6 linked regions of the Danio rerio genome follow. The protein of the gene in region 6 binds, or shares a complex with, the protein of the main gene of each other region. Links are inferred from orthologs where the notes say so. Each region holds a gene or a part of one and is shown on either strand. Other genes may lie near its edges.

Region 1 (2,982 bases), on a different chromosome or scaffold from region 6:
TATATATATATATATATATATATATATATATATATATATATATATGTATATGTGTGTATATATATGTGTGTATATATATATTTGTCAATCATATGTCATGACTCTGTTACAGTTACCCTGAACTGAAGCTCATCCAGTCAATTAATGCCCATCCATCCAACTGCATCTGCATTAAGTTTGATCCGACTGGGAAGTATTTTGCCACTGGAAGTGCAGATGCCCTGGTCAGCCTGTGGAACGTGGAGGAGCTGGTGTGTGTGCGATGCTTCTCAAGGTCAGTTTTGACTTTTTTAGATTATATATAAATAAAAATGTACATTTTTTTTTTTTTATAACTTTGAATTATCTCACAGTGTTTAAATTTAAATTTTATATTAAAGTTATAGAACATTATACAACAAAGCTAAATATAAGTTTTGTAGTTTTAAGACCAAATTTCAGTTGACTGTCTCAAATGAGTGACTTCCCTTTTTAATAATGAATAAGCTAACAAATAGTAAATTTTTATTTAATTAAATATTTAATTTTATTTTTTTTAAATTGACTTAATTTATATTTCTATGTTTGACTGATCTCATAACATTTACTCTTTATTTAGCTTTTTTTACGTTTTAAAATTTTAAATTATAGTTACAATAAAAACTAAAATGAAACTAAATGGGTTAAACTGCAGAATTTACTAATAATGAAATTTAAAAATAACAACAGTTAATAAAATTCTAAAAACTAGATTTTATGTCAGTGAAAATATTTATTTTTAATTATTAATAAGTAGTGTATTTAAATGTGCCATATTCTGCATTGGTTTAATAAGTTAAATTGTTCTCTGATATCTACATTGTAGGTTTATGGCTTTGGTAAGTTAAAAAATAAATCTCTAGAAATGATTTATTAAGCTAATTCATTAATCCATACAAATTCCCATAGAATCAGAAGGTCCATGATTGACCATATATGGTTCATCTTGTGAATATTAATGAGCTCCGCTGCACCTAGAGACACACACACACAGCATAATGTACAGTACGCTGAACATGGAGAAATATAAACCCAATCAGAGTAATGTTAACCTATTTTGCTCACCAGATCTGTTGTGGAAAAAGGCTAAATTATAATTAAACTTGACAAAAGAGAGTGATAGACATGTTTTGCGTTGTATTTTGAAGTTACAGTCAAAGAAAACACACCCAGGAATTAATATCAATTTGAATGACAAGTAGCTTTACATGCAAATGCGGAGGACATGGCCCATGACCCTCGTCACAGTTTGTTTTGTCTTCTGATTGGCCTGTTATCCACTGGAGTTTTACATTTGTGGAAATTCGTGGATCTTTTATTATTCTACTATGTATTGGTATACCCAGATTTTCATTAAAGGGCACCTTTAAGTGATACAAAAATAATGCTAAGATGATGTTGTAATGCATTTACTTTGTGGTTATTGCATATGGAGTTAGAAACAAAAAATATAATGAATTTTAATCTATCATCAGTATTTATCAGTTTTACATGAGCACATTTCTAAATTTTTGCAAAGCGAGAGAAAGTTTTTTTATGAACCATTCAAGTTCATTGATTAATCACACTTTTAAATTATTATGTCTCGCATAGTTTTTATTTAAATTTTCTTTAAACTATTTTGTCTTGAATCCAACAGACTGGACTGGCCTGTACGAACTCTTAGCTTCAGTCATGATGGTAAAATGCTGGCATCTGCATCAGAAGACCATTTCATTGACATAGCAGAAGTAGAGACAGGTGAGCAGATGCATCTTTACAACATGATGAAAGCTTTACTCGCATTTTACTAACCGTCTCCTGTCTGTAGGGGAGAAACTGTGGGAAATTCAGTGCGAGTCTCCAACCTTCACTGTAGCCTGGCATCCGAAGAGGCCGCTGTTAGCATATGCCTGTGACGATAAAGAGGGCAAATACGACAGCAACCGAGAAGCGGGCACCGTCAAACTCTTCGGCCTTCCCAATGATTCCTGAGGTCCGTTTACACATATTAAGATAAAATTGAGATGTTATTCGAGCAAATTAATTTTCATTAGACTTATTGTTTTAAAGTAAATTTGTAAATAGTTAAAAGATATTCTGATGTTCTGCTCTCATATTAGTTTTTGGTTTAAAGTACAGGTGTAAATAACTACTGCCTGCAGCTCCTCTGAATATGAGTTTTTATTTGTCTTTTACCAAAATATGACTGTGTGATAATACAAAAACAAAGTTTAATGTAGAATCTGTGCAGAATACTTAAAAAAAATCTTGTGATTTAGTACAGCACGCTGTTCTTGTTTTCAATAATTGACCATTGCTGTTTTTGAGAAAAATTGAGATAAAACTGTAATGCTAGTTTTAGAAATGACCAGCAGAGGGCATCACATGCTCAAAGAAAAGATGTCTCATTGCTAATACAGGCATTTTTGAATGTGTGTTTGTTTTTATAGCAATAAATTATGTACTTTATTTTTAAAATGAATACTGTTTCATATTTTTCTTGATTTTAAAAGCCACATGTTGTCTTTTTGTGTGATCAACTCCAAAATACTGTTGGAAAACAAAGCACCCTAATTTTAGCGCTTAATTGACTATTTTATGTACTCTCTGCTATAATGTAGTTTTAGTGTTTTTGTATGTGCTCAAAACATATTTATCATTTATTTGTTTATTTAGTAATTTTAGTGTGTTTTTGATCTGATTCATTTATTAATAAAAAAAAAACAACAACAGGAAAATATATCGGTTTTAATTTTAGACATCAACACTGCAAAAAAACTAGAACTTGTTTGAATTCGTCGATTGAGATAATTGTAATGGATTTTCTTAAATTAAAATAACAATGTATATAATTCACCTTTGCTAATCAGGTTAAATAAAGATAATTTTATTGGCTTGATTTACATATAAAGTGTTCAGATCAAGAAAAACATTTCAGTTTCATCTGAAACTTTCTTCTTAAATTGGCGTTTTTCTCAATTG
Region 2 (3,967 bases), on a different chromosome or scaffold from region 6:
ATCAACTTTACCTCATTCTCAGTCAAGCAAATTTAAAATATTTAAATTCACATTTTAATTCATGTTGAATTATTTTCATATCTACGTAAAAAGCTTTGTATTCATAAACTGAATCATAATGGCACAAACTGAACTGACGAAGCAAAAGAAAGATGGATTTTAAAACGTCTTATTATTTCATAATATACTATGTTATATGTAGCCTATGTAGCCAGAGGGGGTTCAGAAAAAAAAACCCTTACTGACAAATGTGCAGAATTTTTCCCATTCATGAGCTCATATGTCGTATTTTGACTGCTACATGCCATCATAAATAGTAAAAATAACCAATTAAAAAGGCATAATCCTCTGTTGGCTGTTGCTTCGGTGTGACTTCAGCAAATCAGTCTTGGTCAATGCTAACAAATGTTTTTGATGATCAACATCTAGCTGTGTAGGAAATCACACAATCTGACATAAGTGACGTCATCTTTCGCTACTGTTTGTAAACAGAGAAAACGTTTTACAAGTAACTTTTGTTCTAAATCTTGGAACTTATCTTGAAACTAAAAATGAGCAATAAAAAGGGTGGCCTATAGTAAAATTGATTTGAATACTAATTAGGCTATTGTTATCCTTAATTTTCAAATGCACTTTTTAACATGTAAGGCTAGAAAATTGTAAAGCTTTTATTATTATTATTTTTTATTATTGAAATGGCCAAATTCTGACTGAAGAAATTGAATGTGCTGGCTAGATTGTTATTTGCCTAATAAATGACACTAGACAATAGTTTTTAACTTAAAACTTTTTCAGATTCCTAATGTATTTTTAAAAAGCTAAATCATGATTCATAACTGAACTGACGATATTGCTCAAACAAATTGACGAGTCTTGTGGAACCACACTTTAAAACGAACTGTTCAAATGAACCGATTCGCGAAAATGAATCTCATTTCTCAATACTGTCAAAAACTAAACTAACTACCTACTAATACAGTATTTCTGAAAGACACGCTATCAGTCGACTAGTCTAAAACGAGTTTTCAGCAAAACATTTAAATGACTTTGTAATAATAAAGTAAAAGCTAGCCGTTCAGAAAACTGTTGTGAGCTCGGCGGGTTTGCTTCGCAACAGAGGCGGGGCGCTGATGCCTTGCGTGTCCGCGCGCGCCTGACAATAAAGTTTTTTCTAACAGTCCAGTTAGCCTGCTGGAGAATGGGTAGCATTACTGATGGTAAGATTTTCCTTTGTTTTATTTTTCTTAACTATCATGTAATTGTAATTTATGTAGCAAATCTGAAGGAATTATTACAGTAGCGTACGTCCATGTTTTTATTTCCTGGAAACTAAACGAACTCCTTTGAAATGTCTACATGAGGAGTCTTAGCTAACAGTTAGTTAGCCACATGCTAAAACTGATTAACTAAAACAAGTTACAAGATGTATAAGTATAATTTATTACGCTGACTTTGGTTTTGGATAGGCATTACAGTGATATAAAATATATTGGTAAGTATAATATGTAAATACGATAATATGAAAATTTGATGGCACCCTTCTGACACTTTTCAATGTTGGATCAATCAGTTAAATCAAGCATCAAGGTTGGAAAATAAACTGATTTTTTGCTGAATTTAGAGATTTACTTTGTTTCAAAAATAATCAAGCAGAATATATATATATATATATATATATATATATATATATATATATATATATATATATATATATATATATATATATATATTGTTCCACATTTAGTCACTGAATACAATTTACAGTATAATATCTGTGCTATGCTATTTAGACCTATATTTAGACTAAATAATATCTATGTCTCCTCCCTCACAGATGAGGTTATTCGGAAGCGTCTTCTGATCGATGGAGATGGAGCTGGAGATGACAGACGCATTAATGTGCTCATGAAGAGCTTCACCAAATGGTGCCACTCCAGTTTCTCACCAGAGGAGGGGTAATTTACATTCTGGTTTAACTTTATATACCTGACTTGATAAGATTTTTTTTTTCTTTTCCTTTAAAATATTCCACTGATTAGTTACCACGACCTTGGGTGTAATTACTTTATCATTCATATGTGTCTGCAGGATGTCTCAGTATCAAAGAATGATGATGTCCTTGGCTCAGTGTGAATTCTCCATGGGGAAAACCTTGCTTGTGTACAACATGAACCTGAAAGAAATGGAGAATTATGAAGGAATCTATACCGATATTGGTAAGACTTCTTGTTGACTTCCCTGCTTTTTTCTTTTGGGTTGATTGGATTATATGCTGACAAGGGAGACACATTCCTGTTTGCACTCATTGTTTTAATCTACATCTTTTGACTATATTAAATATTACTTTGAGGGCAGGATATTAGGCATGGGCCGGTATATGTTTCTGACAATATTATAACCTTGGATAAAAATATCACGGACACATGGTATTGTGATTACTGCTCTGAATTATATTCTTTTTAAATGTCTGGGTAAAAACAAAAACTTTGAACACTATATTTTACTTTGATAAAGATTTAAAGTATTTTGGAGCAGTGAATATGCCAGGCTAAATAATTCAAAATGAATCATTGATTTCTTTCCAATTTAAAACAACCTCTTTGGATATCTTTTCTGCTGGAGATACTGTTGTTCTGAACTCTATTTATACCGTAGCAAGAGTAAAGCAGAAATTTAGGACTTTACTTTTCCAATGCGCAGTATACCTTGAAAACGGTTATCATCCCATGCCTACAGGATAAAAGGGTGGGTGTTTGTGTAAGCTTTTTCAATTATTTCTAATATCGCAAAATAACCTTGCATAATAGAAAATGATACAGAGTGCTGCAGCCTTCATTTCTGCTCTGGTGGCTACAAAACTACACCAAATTCAGATCAGTGTGTTAAATCTGTGAATTGTTTATCGTAGACTCTCTTTGATCAAATAATTTGAATCAGTGAATCATTCAAGGGAGATACTCAGACTGAAAACATCATTCAAATCAGTTATTTGTTGACTCGTAAACATGTCTATCCAATTCGCAAATTAATTGTTCAGTGCAATTTGTGAATTGATTTAACTGGCTAACTGATAAAATTCAGCTTGTTCACGAATCAAGTTGGATTCAAAAGTGCAGTATTTTGTTTTGTATTCTGATTTTCAATCAGAACTTTTCAATCTGCCTTTTATCAGTGATTTTTATGGCGAGTTCAGACTGCATGATTTTCAAAGTAGTCATGTCACAGATGTTTTCACCCTGTATGACTGTCGGGGGTAGTATTTCATCGCTGCTTTGTTTACCCTGCAAGATGGATTGGCAACGGGGGGTTCACACTGTATGATTTAGAATAGGAAGAATTGGCGACAACTTTGTCCCGGTCTACAAACTACATCTCAAAACCAAGCACAGAAGAAGTGACATGGAAATAATGTAGTATATCTTTTGTCATGAACTATATAATGAGAATAAAGCCTTTAGTGGGGTAGAAAATTTACTTATTTTGCTCACTTGGCCTTTAATAGGAATTAGCAATTTCTCCTCAACTTTTTCTTTTTCGACCCGGTTGCTCAGATGACACTTCAAACAGAAACGGGTGCTCCTGCCAAATTTACACTAGTTGTTCCTCCATTTTTTGGGGTCCAAATAGACAAAATAGAAGCACTTTTAACTTGTTCCCCAACCTCCCGCTGGCCTGCAGATTTCACACGGCATGATTTGAATCGTCGACAGATCCAGCTGTTTAGCACACTGAATATCTCACATGTGTCTACGACACATCACCGATTCTCTCCGATTGTGTCTTTGATAGTTCATACTGTGTGGTTGATACTTGCGTGAATGAGTACCTATTTGCCTGTGATTTCAGGCATTTTTTGCAATTTCTTGAAACCTGTTGTCGAGTCAAAAATCAGGGCTAAAATCATGCAGTTTGAATTTGGCATTATTTTGCTGAGTGTTCTGTATTTTTATAGTTATTATTTTTTTGT
Region 3 (4,031 bases), on a different chromosome or scaffold from region 6:
ATCAAAAAGTCAGAAACCATAAACTTTCATTAATATGAAATGATGACAAAATTATTTGATAAACTGTCCCCATAAGAACCTTACACTCTCATTACCAGTGAGAATTATAAATAAAAATCTGCCCTCATTGAATAGATATTAACGGAAATATATACCATATTATATAATATTTTTTTTATAAGTATAAAAATTTAAAAATATTTATAGAGTATTGAGGATGGTATCTATCTAGCATATCTGCTCAATGTGTGTTATGTTTCTGCCTAGAACTGTTAAGAGGCCAAAATTGCTGTTTCATTCGCCTAGTCAGTTGATGGGAAAAAAAAACATTCGTCCCGTACCAACACCTCCATTACAGCAAGGGAAATATACAATAATTGATATAAAAAAACATGATTCTATGAATCAAATTTTCACTAGAAAACTAACTTCAACTGAAGTCCGAAACGACGCAGAAAACAATCGCGTTAATATGAATGTAATGCAAACAATTCATCTGAATTAAAACATAATATCTAAAACAAAACAAATAGTTTTTCCTCTTCGTCTTCGGTGTTTATTATGTTCATAAACACACAGCAGTCCTCAAATACGTCACGGTGAACCACCTAAAAGCTGTTTAACATCACGATCTTGCAGAATAAACAGGCCATATTTCCACTCGGTCTGCAAGACACTATTCATACGCTGAGTCGACATGATGTTATCATATCAAACAACAGTGACAGTCCGATTTAGCAAAAGGAAAGACAGAAACAGATATTTACCTGTCATACAGAAACAAAAATATCGCTCATAGATAGTCATTTTAGGCCAATCGGAGGTGTTTGTAACAGTGGTGGGAAGCAGTGTAACGTTACTACTAAGCAGCATCCATACTGAATACAGCAGAAGCGTGCGTCACGGCTTTGACCACAGCCAATGAGCGCATTTCGTTCTTTAGCATGATCAAATAATTTTTTATTTACTTCGATTATAAAATACACATACTGCTTGTTTTACACGTTCATTTATCGTATAGAGTGTTTATTATTAAATTTACGCCGTTTTTGTTTTGTTTTTCTGTATCGTGTCATAGAAGCAGCTGATCTAGAACCAGTCTCATCATTCCGCTTTTCGCCGTTCAACGGCTGTACAAAAAACAGGCAAGCTGATCTGAGATCAACTGTTAAGACGACAAATGTGATGCCAGCGAGCGGAAGTTTCTAGAGAATGAGGTCCGTCACTAAACATAGACCGCCACCGTTGCGTACAGACGGACGAGGGGTAACGTAACGCTTATCAGTAAATAATTCGACGAGTTTTAAAAACAAGTCATGCCACCAGGTAAAAATTTTAGAAGAAGGAAAGAGGATTCATCCGACGAGGAAGATGATGAAACAAAATTCGTAGTCAGGTAGATATATTCAACACATTCAGGCCAAACAAAGTAAACACAGCTGTTGTAAACCGCTTGGTAAAACGAGCAGAAAAGATTAATGCAGCTGACTTGTTTAGTTTGTACATGCATTCAGAGAGGACAGAAACCTATTGAATGTGAAAAACTATTTAAAGATGTTACTTTTATTATATGTTTACCCAGGTCAAAACTGGATGAAGCCAAGGAGCTACAGAGTCTGCGAAAAAGGCAGCATGGAGTGAGGTTGGTCATGAGCTGCTTTGTGGTTGTTACTGTTGGTGGTGTTTACATTTTTCTTTCTTTTCATTGTGTAATTAAAGTGAGAATAATAAATGCTATTTTCCATTCTGTTTGTCCAGCATTGCAACGTTACTTGTTGGAGAGAAGCTTCCTTTAGAGGCTGAGCTTGAGGTGTTTTATTATTTTAATCAAACTACATTTTGCACTACAATACAAGCCTTGCAGTGTAACTTTGTTCTTCTCTATGAGCTAATAGAGGTTTGACATTTTGTCCCTCCATGTTTATGTCATAGGATGACCCATTTAAACTGAAGACTGGAGGTGTTGTTGACATGAAGAAAGTGAAAGACAGAAGCAGAGACATGTAAGAATTAAGTAAACATGTTAGCTTTTCATTTCAAGATGTCTCTATATTTGCATCTTGACACTTCCTCTTTTGTTACAGGACAGTGGATGAAAATGACCTCAATCTTGGTACATCCTTTTCTGCCGAGACAAACAGAAGAGATGAAGATGCTGACATGTAAGTGCATGCTTCTACATCACATACTCTCTGCATTGCTGGTTTTGTCACTATGTTTAAAGCCTCTCCCATCATGCATCTCATTTCACGCAGGATGAAGTACATTGAGACAGAGTTAAAGAAAAAGAAAGGCATGGTGGAGGCAGAGGAGCAGAAGGTAAAGGTGAAGAATCCAGAGGACCTCCTGTATGAGCTTCCAGAGAACATCAACGTCAGCTCTGCCAAAAAGACAGAAGAGATGTTGTCCAATCAGATGCTGAGCGGAATTCCAGAGGTGGATCTGGGGATTGAGTGAGTAAAGACACAAGCTAATTCATGGACATCAGTTATTGTTTTCTCTAGACTGGTGGCTCAGAACAAACAAATGATTGATGTCAACCTAAAAGCCTCTTTTCTCTCTTTCTTCTCAGCGCAAAGATAAAGAATATCATCAACACAGAAGAAGCCAAAGCAAAGCTGCTAGCTGAGCAGAGGAATAAGAAGAAAGACAGCGGGACCTCCTTTGTTCCCACAAACATTGCGGTCAATTACGTCCAGCATAATCGCTGTAAGTGTACACACAAACAACTGTTTGTTCAAACGTTTGTCAGTAAGATGTTTTTAAGTCTCTTATGCTCACATTTAAGGGATAGTTCATTTTTTTTCATTTGTTCTCCTTCATGTGGTTTTAAACAGTTATTAGTTTCTTTCTTTTGTTGAACCCAAAAGAAGATGTTTTGAAGAAAACTGATTGCTGGAATCCATCATCGTCAATGGCTTCTTTGTGTTTTGGTTTTGAACAAGTGAAGGCTGATTTAAATGATGGCAGAATTAAAAAACTTTTGAGTAGAAGTATCCCTTTAAAAATGTAATCTTGTGAAATATTTTTGCAGTCTGTAATTGCACTCATTTTCTTTTTTTCATAATCAGGTTTTTAAGATTATAAAAAAATGTTGTAAATTGTTCATTGTAAAGCTGAATTGTTCAGCAAACATTAGTCCAGTTCTTCACAATTCTTTCTAATACGATGATTTGGTGCCTAATTTACACATTTATCTTTCAATATTAAAAAAAACGGAAATTAATGTAAATTTCAAAAGCAGAGCATTTACTTAAAATACATTTTGTAACAAAACTGTACAAAGAAAAGGCCAATGATTGATTTCTCAAAATTGTTCACTAACCATATCTGTTTTCAAGTGTAAGCTTTTATCAACAGCTCTGTCTATGCCTAACAAATAAGTAAACAGTAAAATGTGAACCATATTTAAAACATTTGCTATCCCAAAGAAGAAAGATTAAGTCATCATCTGTTCTATTTTGTCAAGTCTACCATGAGGATTCAAACGCGCCCCAAAGACGCAACAGAGAAGAGCCTAAAGCCAGGCCATTGCGTGTAGGAGACACAGAGAAACCAGCACCTGAGGGTAAGATCAGATTGAAAACCTCTTCAGCTTTTATGCCCTGCTGTTTTTAATGTATTCATGTTCATATGATTTGGTGTATTTTTTTCGGTCTCCAGCCTCACCACCCAATTTCCGCAAGAGACCCAATAACGAGAAGGCCACAGATGACTACCACTATGAGAAATTTAAGAAAATGAACCGACGATATTAATCCTTCACTAATAATTCAGTTACCATGATGGAGTTTGTTTTTCCTTTCTGTAAACTGAAAGATGTAAATACTTTGTACTATATTTAAAAAAATGTCTCTGCTAAATATCTGTAACTTACGATAAGCTTTTTACAATAAAACTTCACCCAAATTGTTGGTAGTTTTTTGAAAATATTTTATAACAGAAAAACTTTTAGTTGCATAAATTTAGCGCATTGTTCAATTTCATAATTATATAATGATTGTAGAACAGTTCCACATAAATGCTCAATC
Region 4 (3,500 bases), about 3.4 Mb from region 6:
CTAATGTTTTAACGCATCTTAGCATTTTACAGCAATGTTTTGCGAGAGAGTAGTATAAAGATGGTACAAAGTAGCACTTATTTTTAACACTATTAAATGCTACAAGATCCTCTAAATTAAATCATATTGGTCTGTAATATGAATGTGTGTTGGATTTTAGTCTTGACAGACATCGATCAAGCCATGTAGCCTATTGCATTAGCTGCCTCTTGTGGCATTGACAGATTGATGCTTATTTCAACTCTTCATTCTATAATTTCAGTGTTTAGGATCTTTAAAAGGGTTCTATTCCGGACTAATGTGGATGTAGCCTCTATCGCTCTTCTGTCATCCCTCTTTGCTTAAAACCATATTCCAAGCATTCAGTTTAACCCAAACTGCTGATTTGTTGGGGTGTCTCTACATGTAACAGAGAGAGAGAGTAAATGACAGCACATGTGGTCTATTCAGGCCATTACTAGATTGCTACAGGATCCACTGTAGCTGCGTCCATGCTGTGCGAAATGATTTGATTTGGAACCATCCTTTCCTCGTATCCCCCTTTCCCTCTTCCTTCTTTCTGTCTCTCTCTGTCTACCCTCCTCCTCCTGTTGTGTCCTAAAAGCTTTACAAACATGCTGAAGAACAAGCAGCCGACAGTGAGTAGCATCCGGGCGACCATGCAGCAACAGCACATGGCCAGTGCACACAACCGCCTCCTTGCTCAGCAGATGGAGAACAGGCCCTCTGTGCAGGCTGCACTTCATCACAAACAGGTAAGAGGACAAAAAGTGCAAACCACCGGAAATGGTAGAGATGTCAATGTCATGGTACACAAAGAAAAGTGTTGAATTTACAGAAATGTTATGATAGTTGTATTTATTCTGTTCTTGGTTTTGGTTTAATATAAAGGTTTGTGTACATTTTTGCTTTTGCTTACCATCAGTATTTTGACACCAATGAAACCAGCAGCTCTACATTTCTCTTGCTCTGTGTATCATTCTTCGTTATTAGCAAGGTGTAGCTGCCTAGACCATTTTATGCCAACAAGTCATGTTTTACTGTTTATTCAGCAGTTCCACTAGTGTGAAAAAAAGCAACAAACTCATTGGTTGACCTATTTTTAATGCTGCGCATCAAAAAGAAAGAAAAAAAAACGTTCATGCATATGTGTAGTCATTATAAGTTTTCCTGAATTATTAGCTCGTTTGTATGTTTTTTTGCCACATACAACGACGACAAGCTGAAAAAAAAAACGTTGCTGTCACTAAGTTTTATTTATGGAGAATTCCATAAATATTCCAAAGCACTACAGTGTTTGAGTGTTCTGTGTTTGTCTGAGGTAATTAGTCTACCAAAAATATATATATATGTAATGTAATGTGTAGTTGTATCGCGCATTTATTGTGTATGGCCGTACACCCAAAGCACTTCACAATCATTAGGGGGATCTCTCCACACCACCACCAGTGTGCAGCATCCACTTGGATGATGCGACGGCAGCCACAGGACAACGGCGCCAGTGCGGTCACCACATACCAGTTATTGGTGGAGTGAAGAGACAGTGATAGAGCCAATTCAGTAGATGGGGATGATTGGGAGGCCATGATCGTAAGGGCCGATTGAGGAACTTTGGCCAGGACAACGTGGTTACACCCCTGCTCTTTACGAGAAGTGCCATGGGATTTTTAATGACCACAGAGAGTCAGGACCTCGGTTTAACGTCTCATCCGAAAGACAGTGCCCACTGACAGTGTTGTGTCCCCTTCACTTTTACTATGGCATTAGGACTCACACAGACCACAGGTTGAGCGCCCCCTGCTGGCCTCACTAACACCACTTCCAACAGGAACCTAGTTTTCCCTAGTGGTCTCTCATTCAGGTACTGACCAGGCTCAGCCCTGCTTAGCTTCAGTGAGTAACCGGTCTTGGGCTGCAGGGTGATATGGCTCCATCCAAGCTGAATTTCATCAGTCAGTTCTTATCACGTGACTCGTGGTGTGCTCACTGCATTGATTCAACTGAGTGCGTCTGGAAGAAGAGAGCTTCACGCCCCTTGGGCGTGCAAGCTGAGCAACTTCATTGGAAATAACGTGATGTGCGAATGACCCCTGAAAGGCTGCCGTCATTTGCAATCTTTAGCAGTTGATCTCCTTGCACAGACATGGTAGATTCACCTGATTTGATGACAAATAGGTTGTGGATTCATTCCTTGGCATATCATAGTCCTTCTGTTGGCATTTTCCACTCAGTAAAGAAACTTTCCAAAGACGTGTTTCTTACTCATTTTGCTGCTTGTGGGTTAAATTTGGGCGCTCAAGTGACTAAGATGTAAGCGAGAGAACACAGTCATTTTTCTAAATAAAACATAGTCTAGACTCAGATAATAAATAAAATGGAAATAGTTAATGATTGCGGCCTGGTACCAATAGATCCACTGGCCACTACTGGTCCACAGCCCTGTGATTGAGAACTGCTGTAGACAATAGAAAACAAATATTGGTGCTAATAATATACACCTCAAAATGGTTAAAAATATTAAAAATAATTTTATTCTAGCCAAAATAAAATAAGACTTTCTCCACAAGAAAAAAATATTATAGGAAATACTGTGGAAAAATCCCTTGCTTGGTTAAACATCATTTGGGAAATGTTTGAAAAAGAAAAAAAAATCACAGGAGGGCTAATAATTTTGACTTCAGCTATAATTTTTTCTGTATCCTTTAATACATTTTATATTAATACAATATCAATATGAATTATTATTTGTTGCTTGCTTAGCGTTTTTTACAAAGTCCGCACAGAGATGCAATATTTTTTATATCCCACTGTAGAGCCTGAAGCAGCGTCTTGGAAAGAGCAACATCCAGGCCAGACTGGGTCGACCCATTGGCTCCTTGATGCAGGGTGGTGGAAGAGGACGAGGATTACGAGGAAGAGCTAGAGGTGGTACCATGAGAGGAGCACTCTCGTTTAGAGGTGAAAGTCTTTTCATGACCCTAATGTTTTTTTTTTTCTTTTGTGACTGCTGTCTTGCGTTCACTTAAAAGCCACAGATCCTCATTATACATGTATGTAGACTCACTGAAGTTTTAAATTCAGAGATGAATTTGTCTTTCCTTCACTGGAAGTGCAGTGTCAGCTTTGTAATCGTTCTTTGTTTTACAGTTAACTCTTTTAAGACGCTGTCACACTTGAGCCTGTTTTATACTGCAGGGTCAAGTTGTGTACCCAACCATGCACTTTGCCACCGCTGTTTTAAACATATTTCTGTTTTTTGTCTGTGCTGCTCTAGCAATAACAATTCAAATACACTAGCTGTCAGTGGGTTTCGCTGTCAATTTTTTGTTTTGAGATTACACCAAAAATGCTTGTGGTTGTACTGTAGCAGAAAGTCAAAGCCAGACTCATCCATAGATAAGAGACGTTTCTGTGAACGTTCAACTACTTTATTCATAAAATAAATTAGGGCTGCACGATATTGGAAAAAATTGACATTGCGATATTTTTTTCCCCTGCGA
Region 5 (3,500 bases), on a different chromosome or scaffold from region 6:
TTTAAATGACAGAGTATTAAGTGATTTTAATAAACTTGAAAAATGCTACTACTTAATTATATACACACAAATACAGAAGAAAGTCATTGTTAATAGTAAGAAATGTTTCTTGAGCAGCAAATCAGCATATTATAGTAATCGTGTGCTACTGGTAGCACACGATAACTACAATATGCTGATTTTTGAGTAAGGGCTGCGATGCATTGTGAACACCTTTGCAGTGAGGCATTAATTTGAGGTGGTAACAATATGACTTATCCGATATCAGTTAGAACAGAACAGAAAAGGTCTCCAGTTACTGTACATTACAGTTTGGTAGTGAGAACCCAACAAAAAATGTATCGGTTGGGTTCCAGTCAGGTGAATTTGGAGGTCAAGGCATTAATAGATATAGTGTTGTAAAGTATGGCTTTTCAACCTGAGAGAATTCAGAGTGTACACTGGCAAAATAAGTGACAGTGGAGGATGATTTACAGTTCGGGTTTACATGTAGATGCAAGTGAAATTACACAATTTTGGTGTGGCATATGGCCTAAAAGGTTTGGAATCCTTAATGTAAAGTATTAGAGTACATGTAATAGGTTATTTTACTTAAGTATATTTTGGGTTACTTTGTACTGAGTATTAAAGTTAATGTGTACATCACAACATTTTTAAATATTTTGTATTGAACATTTTGTATTTTTTTACTCCACTACATTTGTAAATATTTTGAATGGCATCTAACTTTTAGTTAGAGTTTGTCTGAATCAGGTGTGTTTGACAGACATACAAAATGTGCAAAATATTACAGTTCGTCTGAAACCACATACTTGCCTACATTATTGAATCTTTTATATATATATATGAGCAATATCACACGAGTAGCAGATAAGGCTGTACATAGGCACTGGTGGGAGGCATGTGTCTTACTCTCCCACCAGTGACGATGTACAGCCACATCGCACTACTATGAGTTACAACAGCTCGACAGCATAATCGTGTATATAAAACAGCAAATCAAGTCTAAATATCCTTTTGTAAGGGGAACTACTTTCTTCCGCCATTCCTTCACATCAGCAGCTGACATCAGAACAGCCGTTTACTAATTCACCAACGTCACTTTAGAGCTAGTTTTTGAATGATTCTCTAGCGTAATGTCTAAGGGGATGACAAAACATGATTTAGCTCACATTTTAAGATTATAAGGATGAAAAGCATAAAAGGCCATCGGTCTAGTTTTAGAGACATTTGCCAGTTTTTTTAGGTTGCAAAAGGGAGATCACAATAATTAACCTTGCAAAAGCCAAAGCAACGCAATCACTACCAGATTATTGTTGTGTTTGCGATAAGGAGAAAAGCTAACAAATGCAGCAATTTCTTTCTTGTAACTAGTCTGCAGTAACAAAAACAGGAGACTCATTAAAAACAAACAGATTGCCAACCAAAAAGTAACTTGGGGTTATACGAAGAGTGGCCAACACAAAATTGCATACATTTCTGATATGTGAGTCCCATCACACTCAATCTACTGCAATTACTATGGTATAAATAGAGCACCGCAACATAAAAAAAGAGAGAGATTGACTTAGAATGTCACTCACTAATTTTAGAAAGTTTTGATCAGCTGTAGTTTGAAAATATGCTGATCTTTCCTCCTCTAAGGAGTTATGTGGTCTCTGTTGCCATCTTATGGATGGACAATGTCAACCATTTTTGCTCACTCAATGACAGACTGATGGATGCCGACATGACATGGCTTTTAGCCAATGAGATTCAAGAATCAGAACTGTTGAATAAATATATGTATATGTATGTATGTCTGTGAGCATGAGCGGAGTAGTATGTTCATACTTAATATTATTGAAAGAAAAAAAAAAAAGTAGCCAAAATGTACCTTTGAATCCCAAGTCCAACTCTCTAACCATTAAGCCACAACTGCCGCTGATAAATATTGGATGTTATTCTGTTATACTGCAATAAAGATATTTCCAGAAAGCTGGAAACCTGTAACCTTTGGCTTTCATTTTTTTTCTGTTTCTAGGGAGATCACTGGTTACAGGTTTTCAGCTTTCTTCACAATAGCTTTAATGTTCATCAGAATAATAAAACTAATTAAGGTTTAGAACCACTTGAGGGTAAATAGTAAGTTTCTTTTCTTTTTTTTTGGTGAATTATGCCTACGGTTCTAAAAGTGTGTGATTGTCCTGTGGCCATGATAGCACTTGGTCTGTGATGTTCACATAGTTGTGGTGTTGTAATTAGGCATGGGATGATGGTTTGGAAAGGTCAAGGTTTTAAAACCTTTATTATGTTCTGTTGTACAGTTCCTACAGAATATGTTGTTATTGTTTTTCTAGTTTGCAGATTTTCTGAAGATATACGTTTTATTCTTGGGGAGCACTGAAATGTTACATTAAGATACTGCTCAGTTAATCATGTTAGAAGAGATCAGGTGTTTTTTTTTGTGCCCATAACCCTAAAGGCCATTTGGATGAAGCTAATTTATCAAGCTGCAGCATTTTATACATGTTTATTAAATACCACTTTTTATTGAAAGTCACTGATTACTAAAGAATAATAACTTGATGCATTCATAGATGGTAGTAGCAGCGTTGTTGTGTAAAACCAAATGGTTGACAGATTGTTTTTTGATTTTATGCTAGCTAGCACAATTCTTGAACACTTTTCACATGCAGTTTTTTGGCGCATTGTAGCTCTGATGTGAGTCATATGAAATAATTGCATATGTAAGTTCAGCAGGGGCCTTGAGCTTTTAATAGAGTGCTTGGACTTCCTGTCGGTGTGTCAGATTGTCAGGTGCAACTCTAATGGGGCATGCTAATGAAAGGCAGCAGGCCACTGTGAGGGCTAGTGTGCTCCATCTGTAAGACATTAACCTTCTATCATCTTTGCATCTGTCCTTTAGCACCATCCTAACCACACCACAGTCCTGTCCAAGATCAAAGAGAAGGATGATGAGAAGAAAGAGTCTGATAAATCCAGGGACCGCTCCAAAGAGAGGGAAAAGAAAGAAGACCGGAAGGACCGAAAACGAGTAAGTCCTCTGTATTGGAGGAAGCAGTTTTTAAGCATCACAAATGTTATTGAGCAGGACATTTTACAAGGCTTAAACCAACAAATTCTCAATAAAGCCTTTTGCTGAATCATGCTTTGTGATTGAAGCAAAACATTGCAAATCCCACTTGTGAAAGCTTAATTCACACTTAAATACATTATTTAAATTACTTGACCTTCATGCTCATGCACCAGCATATTTCTTTCATTGGTCCAGATGCCATATCATTCCCTCATGTTTTAAGAGTTTTACAGCAGTTATTAGTATGCCTAAAAAGCACTATTTTAAGTTGTGCTGTCTTTCTCCCTTCACGCTTATAGGACTACTTGAACAGCGATCGCGAGATGAGCCAGGAAGCCAAACGCCGCAAAGATGAAAATGGAATGAGTAAGCCTATCTTTTAAATTTGTTTTGCCTGCTGCCAAGAGCACGAGAGCTAGCG
Region 6 (3,500 bases):
GCTCATGTAGTTGAACAGCCTCTAAACACTGCCCTCTGTCCGCTCAATGGCCGGACACGTCAGCTTTGTGTGAAACGGAAAGCAACTGCTCTCCTCGTTTTTCTCAATTATCTTATTATCTGATGATGTCTTAAGGCTGATATGTACTTCTGTGCCAAGCGCACGTGTATACTCCAGCCACCTCTCAAAAATTTTCCAACAATGCGTAGCGCAAACTTTGTGATTGGTTGGCTTGGTAGCTGTGCTGAGTGTGGGCTGGTTCAAGAGCTGCGCAAACCCGTTGAAGTGAGTGTTTACAAGTGTCGAGTCCTGTGAAGGAGCTTCAAATGGAAACTTTTGTTTTGTGTTTACCCTATACATAATGTTGCTGCACATGCGCCGGTTACCACTTCTGAACGAGCGAGTTTTAGCTACTTGTACATTAAGGTAGAATTAAAAAAAATATGGAACACTAGCAAAGAAATACAACACAGAAGCACATAAAAACCTATTGCCAGCTAGCGCTTTGGAAGTGTTATTGCAATAAAACACAAACAGTTCGCAGAAGTATAAATGCACGACTATACGCAAGGCAGGCACCGTGGGTCACACCAAATTCTCGACACAGAAGTATAAAACAGCCTTTAGTTGCACGAGCATTTCATCCACTCAAAATAAAAAAAAAAAACTAAACATGCACATTGTTTTGTGCAGCATCTTTAAGCTTAACAACAACTTTAAGAGCTAGGTTCTGATGTAATATTATTGCACACCAACAAGCATCGGGACCCACACATAATATCTCCCCTCAATAAAATCAGGACAGAAATGATCAAAAGTTGACAGAAGAGACACATTTAAATGGCAGGTCTAAACGATAATATGTCTGCTTTGTCCACTTGTGATCAGATCGACAAAAACAAATCTTAATACCAGGTGTGAACAGGGCCTAAGATGCATTGTTTTGAATCTGATCACAAACGGTTGACACTTTCGAGTAGGTGTAAATGGGGGTTAAATTATTTTAAGCTTGTCTACTTTTAAAGGTAGACAAATATGCATTTTAACAGTTTTTAAAAATAATAACTATCATTGTTTAGCAATGTGATCATCCCATATGGGCAATTGCATTTGAAAGATCACATTAGACCAGCTACTGACTAATAAATGTAATGGTGAGTAAACACACCAAAACAAGATATCTATGCTTCACTGCACAGTACCAAGGTATTTATTCTCTTGTTTACCAGAAAACACAACTTCATTTATTCAATAATATTTTTTCACACTGAATGTTCCCACTAAAGTGATACAAAAAGTCAAATAAACAGGAAAAGTTCCTAAAAATCCTATCACGAATGACCACAACAGAAAGAATGTAATACCAATGTGTTTTCTCAGACCACTTGTGATTGAATCACTGAAAATCATATAAATACATGGTCACCATGCTTCTCAACCACATAAGTGGAGGACCAGCAGCTCTGCACTTTTCCATGGCTATCCCTGAAACCGCCTACTACTCGGTAGGTACTGCATTTTAGCTTATACGTACTACTCAGCAATTAGAAAAGTAGATTGTACAGTATGAATGTCAGTAGTTAGAACTCGGAAGTACTACATTCGCTATTTTGTCATGATCACGTGAGTTGCGTCACTTCTCTCCCATTCATAAACTTTCTCGTGGGGCATCATGGGATAGCGTAGCATCCATCCAAATCTCGCAGGAAGTAGTAGGTCATCGCATACTGATTTTCAAATTCTATAAATTCGGACATACTACTCGGCTCGCATACTGATTTTAGCGTACTATATTGTATAGAAGTATGTCAACGCAGCCGATGTCTCCTTAACCAAACACACCTGAATCAGATCATAAGCTCATTAGCAGAGACTGAAAGACCAGAAATGGACAGACAAGAGAGACATCCATAACATGCAGTGTTGGTGGTCCTCCAAGAACATGGTTGAGAAACACTGGCGCAAGACATTTGCGTGTGTCCTTGTGGACTCTCAAGATACCTGGTTGAACTCCAACACATCCAGGAGATCAAAGAGCTTCCTGTTCTTCTCGTTGTCCTTCAGCTTGACGTAGTACTGCTGGAGGCCGTGAAGTGTCAACTTGGTCTCGTCGTCCACAAAAATTTCCATCGGCTAAGGACAACCAGTGGAAGCAGGAGGGAGGAAGGTGAGGAGGGGTGGAAGAGGAGTGTGCAGGTTCACGGGGTTAAGATTGTGTGACGATGCGTACAGGAAATTTGACAAGACATGGGTGGAGCAGATAATTATGTTACAAGGGTGTGAAAGAGGAAGTGGTATTTATGACAACGTGATGGCATGGGTGTCAATGGGGGACAGGGAAAGAAAGAACACCAGAACACAAAGAAAAACAAGGACAAAAGAAGTATAACGATTTTAGCAAAGGACAGCAGAGGGGGGAGGATGTGACAACGAGAGGGAGAAGATGGTGTTAGAAAGGAGATTTATGAAAAAGCAGGAGAAAGGGAGGGAAGAGAAGGGATGGGGGTTAGATTTACCCTCCCCTCCCATCCCAAGCCAATGAGGACACAGGACAGGACACAACACACACACTGTCTCTATGCGTTGATAAATGCTACCAGGCTGTCCTAGACTACTTTTAGCTATATCAAGCCTGAAATCATATCTGTGCTATTTCTGAATATATGTTCCAAAACTACACATCCTCCACAGAATGCAAAGTCAAACTAGTTATCGATGTGGAGTTTGGAACTGACTTTAAAATATATGTAGTATGGAGATATGAGTACTAAAGTCAACATGAAATCAAAACTCACCCGATTTGCTTTAAGTATACATTCCTGTTCTTATTGTGCATCATTCATCAGTACGTTCTTTCACACAACAAAATATAACTTGCCTCTACAAACTTCTTTTGGTTGATGTAACCTATGTCACTCCACATAACTTCACTGCAATTTGTAACTTTTTTACATTTTTCAAATTGGTGCCTTATTTATATGAATTTGTTCATTTTTTCCCCGATTGTAAATTTGCTTACGATCTGCTTAGCACTCAGCAAAGAACTTGTTTTAACATTATACACATTCACATTAGAATTCATAGCTTTTTTTACTCAGCACGAGTCAAAATTCACAGTCTACCATGTAAATGCATGTTATGAAAACAATTAGTCACTTAATAGGGTGTTTCTCAACCACGTTCCTGGAGGGCCATCAGCACTGCATGTTTTGGATGTCCCTTTGTCTGTCACACCCATTGCAGGACTTTCAGGCCCGTTAACACTAGAATGTTTTACTTTTAAAATGCCGTTTTAGAACGGAGACGATTCACATCCACTGGCATCTCTGAAAAGTTCTCCGTCCACACTATACTGCCGAAAACGCACATCACGTGATCACACACAGATTCTGGCATGTACTGCAGCATAAGTGCACATCTGAGCTCCAGGCAGTCAGTGGGTGATCTGCGAGCACCTCCCCGAGTAAGAGCAGTTCTTGTCGAATCGTTCAAAAAGTATC

Evidence for each region.
Region 1: ddx39b (region 6) and thoc3 share a complex: the UniProt entries of both Homo sapiens proteins name them as parts of the transcription/export (TREX) complex. The link is inferred for Danio rerio from reciprocal best matches to the Homo sapiens genes DDX39B and THOC3.
Region 2: ddx39b (region 6) and thoc7 share a complex: the UniProt entries of both Homo sapiens proteins name them as parts of the transcription/export (TREX) complex. The link is inferred for Danio rerio from reciprocal best matches to the Homo sapiens genes DDX39B and THOC7.
Region 3: ddx39b (region 6) and zgc:103692 share a complex: the UniProt entries of both Homo sapiens proteins name them as parts of the spliceosome. The link is inferred for Danio rerio from reciprocal best matches to the Homo sapiens genes DDX39B and C9orf78.
Region 4: ddx39b (region 6) and chtopa share a complex: the UniProt entries of both Homo sapiens proteins name them as parts of the transcription/export (TREX) complex. The link is inferred for Danio rerio from reciprocal best matches to the Homo sapiens genes DDX39B and CHTOP.
Region 5: the proteins of ddx39b (region 6) and thoc2 are in contact, whole or in part, in a cryo-EM structure (PDB 7APK), measured with the Homo sapiens proteins. The link is inferred for Danio rerio from reciprocal best matches to the Homo sapiens genes DDX39B and THOC2. Residues at the interface, in NP_004631.1 of Homo sapiens: Leu282, Asp283, Val284, Leu285, Glu286, Phe287, Asn288, Gln310, Asn311, Phe312, Pro313, Asp335, Phe336, Gln337, Arg338, Arg339, Arg355, Ile420, Ile424, Glu425; in NP_001075019.1 of Homo sapiens: Lys550, Tyr551, Met553, Lys554, Arg555, Leu556, Thr557, Lys558, Glu559, Tyr582, Gln586, Lys589, Tyr590, Asp591, Asn592, Leu593, Pro596.

What each region holds. Positions count from the first base shown.
Region 1 is NC_133189.1:29,781,857-29,784,838, forward strand, and holds the end of thoc3 (THO complex subunit 3), read left to right. Parts: intron 1-112; coding exon 113-274; intron 275-1,657; coding exon 1,658-1,758; intron 1,759-1,828; coding exon 1,829-1,992; 3' UTR 1,993-2,482; downstream 2,483-2,982. UniProt on the Homo sapiens protein: Component of the THO subcomplex of the TREX complex which is thought to couple mRNA transcription, processing and nuclear export, and which specifically associates with spliced mRNA and not with unspliced pre-mRNA.
Region 2 is NC_133186.1:21,694,329-21,698,295, forward strand, and holds the start of thoc7 (THO complex subunit 7 homolog), read left to right. Parts: upstream 1-1,167; 5' UTR 1,168-1,198; coding exon 1,199-1,217; intron 1,218-1,834; coding exon 1,835-1,955; intron 1,956-2,088; coding exon 2,089-2,216; intron 2,217-3,967. UniProt on the Homo sapiens protein: Component of the THO subcomplex of the TREX complex which is thought to couple mRNA transcription, processing and nuclear export, and which specifically associates with spliced mRNA and not with unspliced pre-mRNA.
Region 3 is NC_133180.1:33,917,012-33,921,042, reverse strand, and holds zgc:103692 (telomere length and silencing protein 1 homolog), read left to right. Parts: upstream 1-1,231; 5' UTR 1,232-1,316; coding exon 1,317-1,396; intron 1,397-1,582; coding exon 1,583-1,642; intron 1,643-1,758; coding exon 1,759-1,810; intron 1,811-1,932; coding exon 1,933-2,003; intron 2,004-2,084; coding exon 2,085-2,162; intron 2,163-2,255; coding exon 2,256-2,453; intron 2,454-2,572; coding exon 2,573-2,709; intron 2,710-3,469; coding exon 3,470-3,568; intron 3,569-3,663; coding exon 3,664-3,758; 3' UTR 3,759-3,909; downstream 3,910-4,031. UniProt on the Homo sapiens protein: Plays a role in pre-mRNA splicing by promoting usage of the upstream 3'-splice site at alternative NAGNAG splice sites; these are sites featuring alternative acceptor motifs separated by only a few nucleotides. May also modulate exon inclusion events.
Region 4 is NC_133194.1:26,321,443-26,324,942, reverse strand, and holds part of chtopa (chromatin target of PRMT1a), read left to right. Parts: intron 1-604; coding exon 605-755; intron 756-2,813; coding exon 2,814-2,958; intron 2,959-3,500. UniProt on the Homo sapiens protein: Plays an important role in the ligand-dependent activation of estrogen receptor target genes. May play a role in the silencing of fetal globin genes.
Region 5 is NC_133189.1:13,039,634-13,043,133, forward strand, and holds part of thoc2 (THO complex subunit 2), read left to right. Parts: intron 1-2,908; coding exon 2,909-3,037; intron 3,038-3,378; coding exon 3,379-3,445; intron 3,446-3,500. UniProt on the Homo sapiens protein: Component of the THO subcomplex of the TREX complex which is thought to couple mRNA transcription, processing and nuclear export, and which specifically associates with spliced mRNA and not with unspliced pre-mRNA.
Region 6 is NC_133194.1:29,766,605-29,770,104, reverse strand, and holds part of ddx39b (DEAD (Asp-Glu-Ala-Asp) box polypeptide 39B), read right to left. Parts: intron 3,184-3,500; exon of another isoform or gene 2,134-3,183; coding exon 2,002-2,133; intron 1-2,001. UniProt on the Homo sapiens protein: Involved in nuclear export of spliced and unspliced mRNA. Component of the TREX complex which is thought to couple mRNA transcription, processing and nuclear export, and specifically associates with spliced mRNA and not with unspliced pre-mRNA.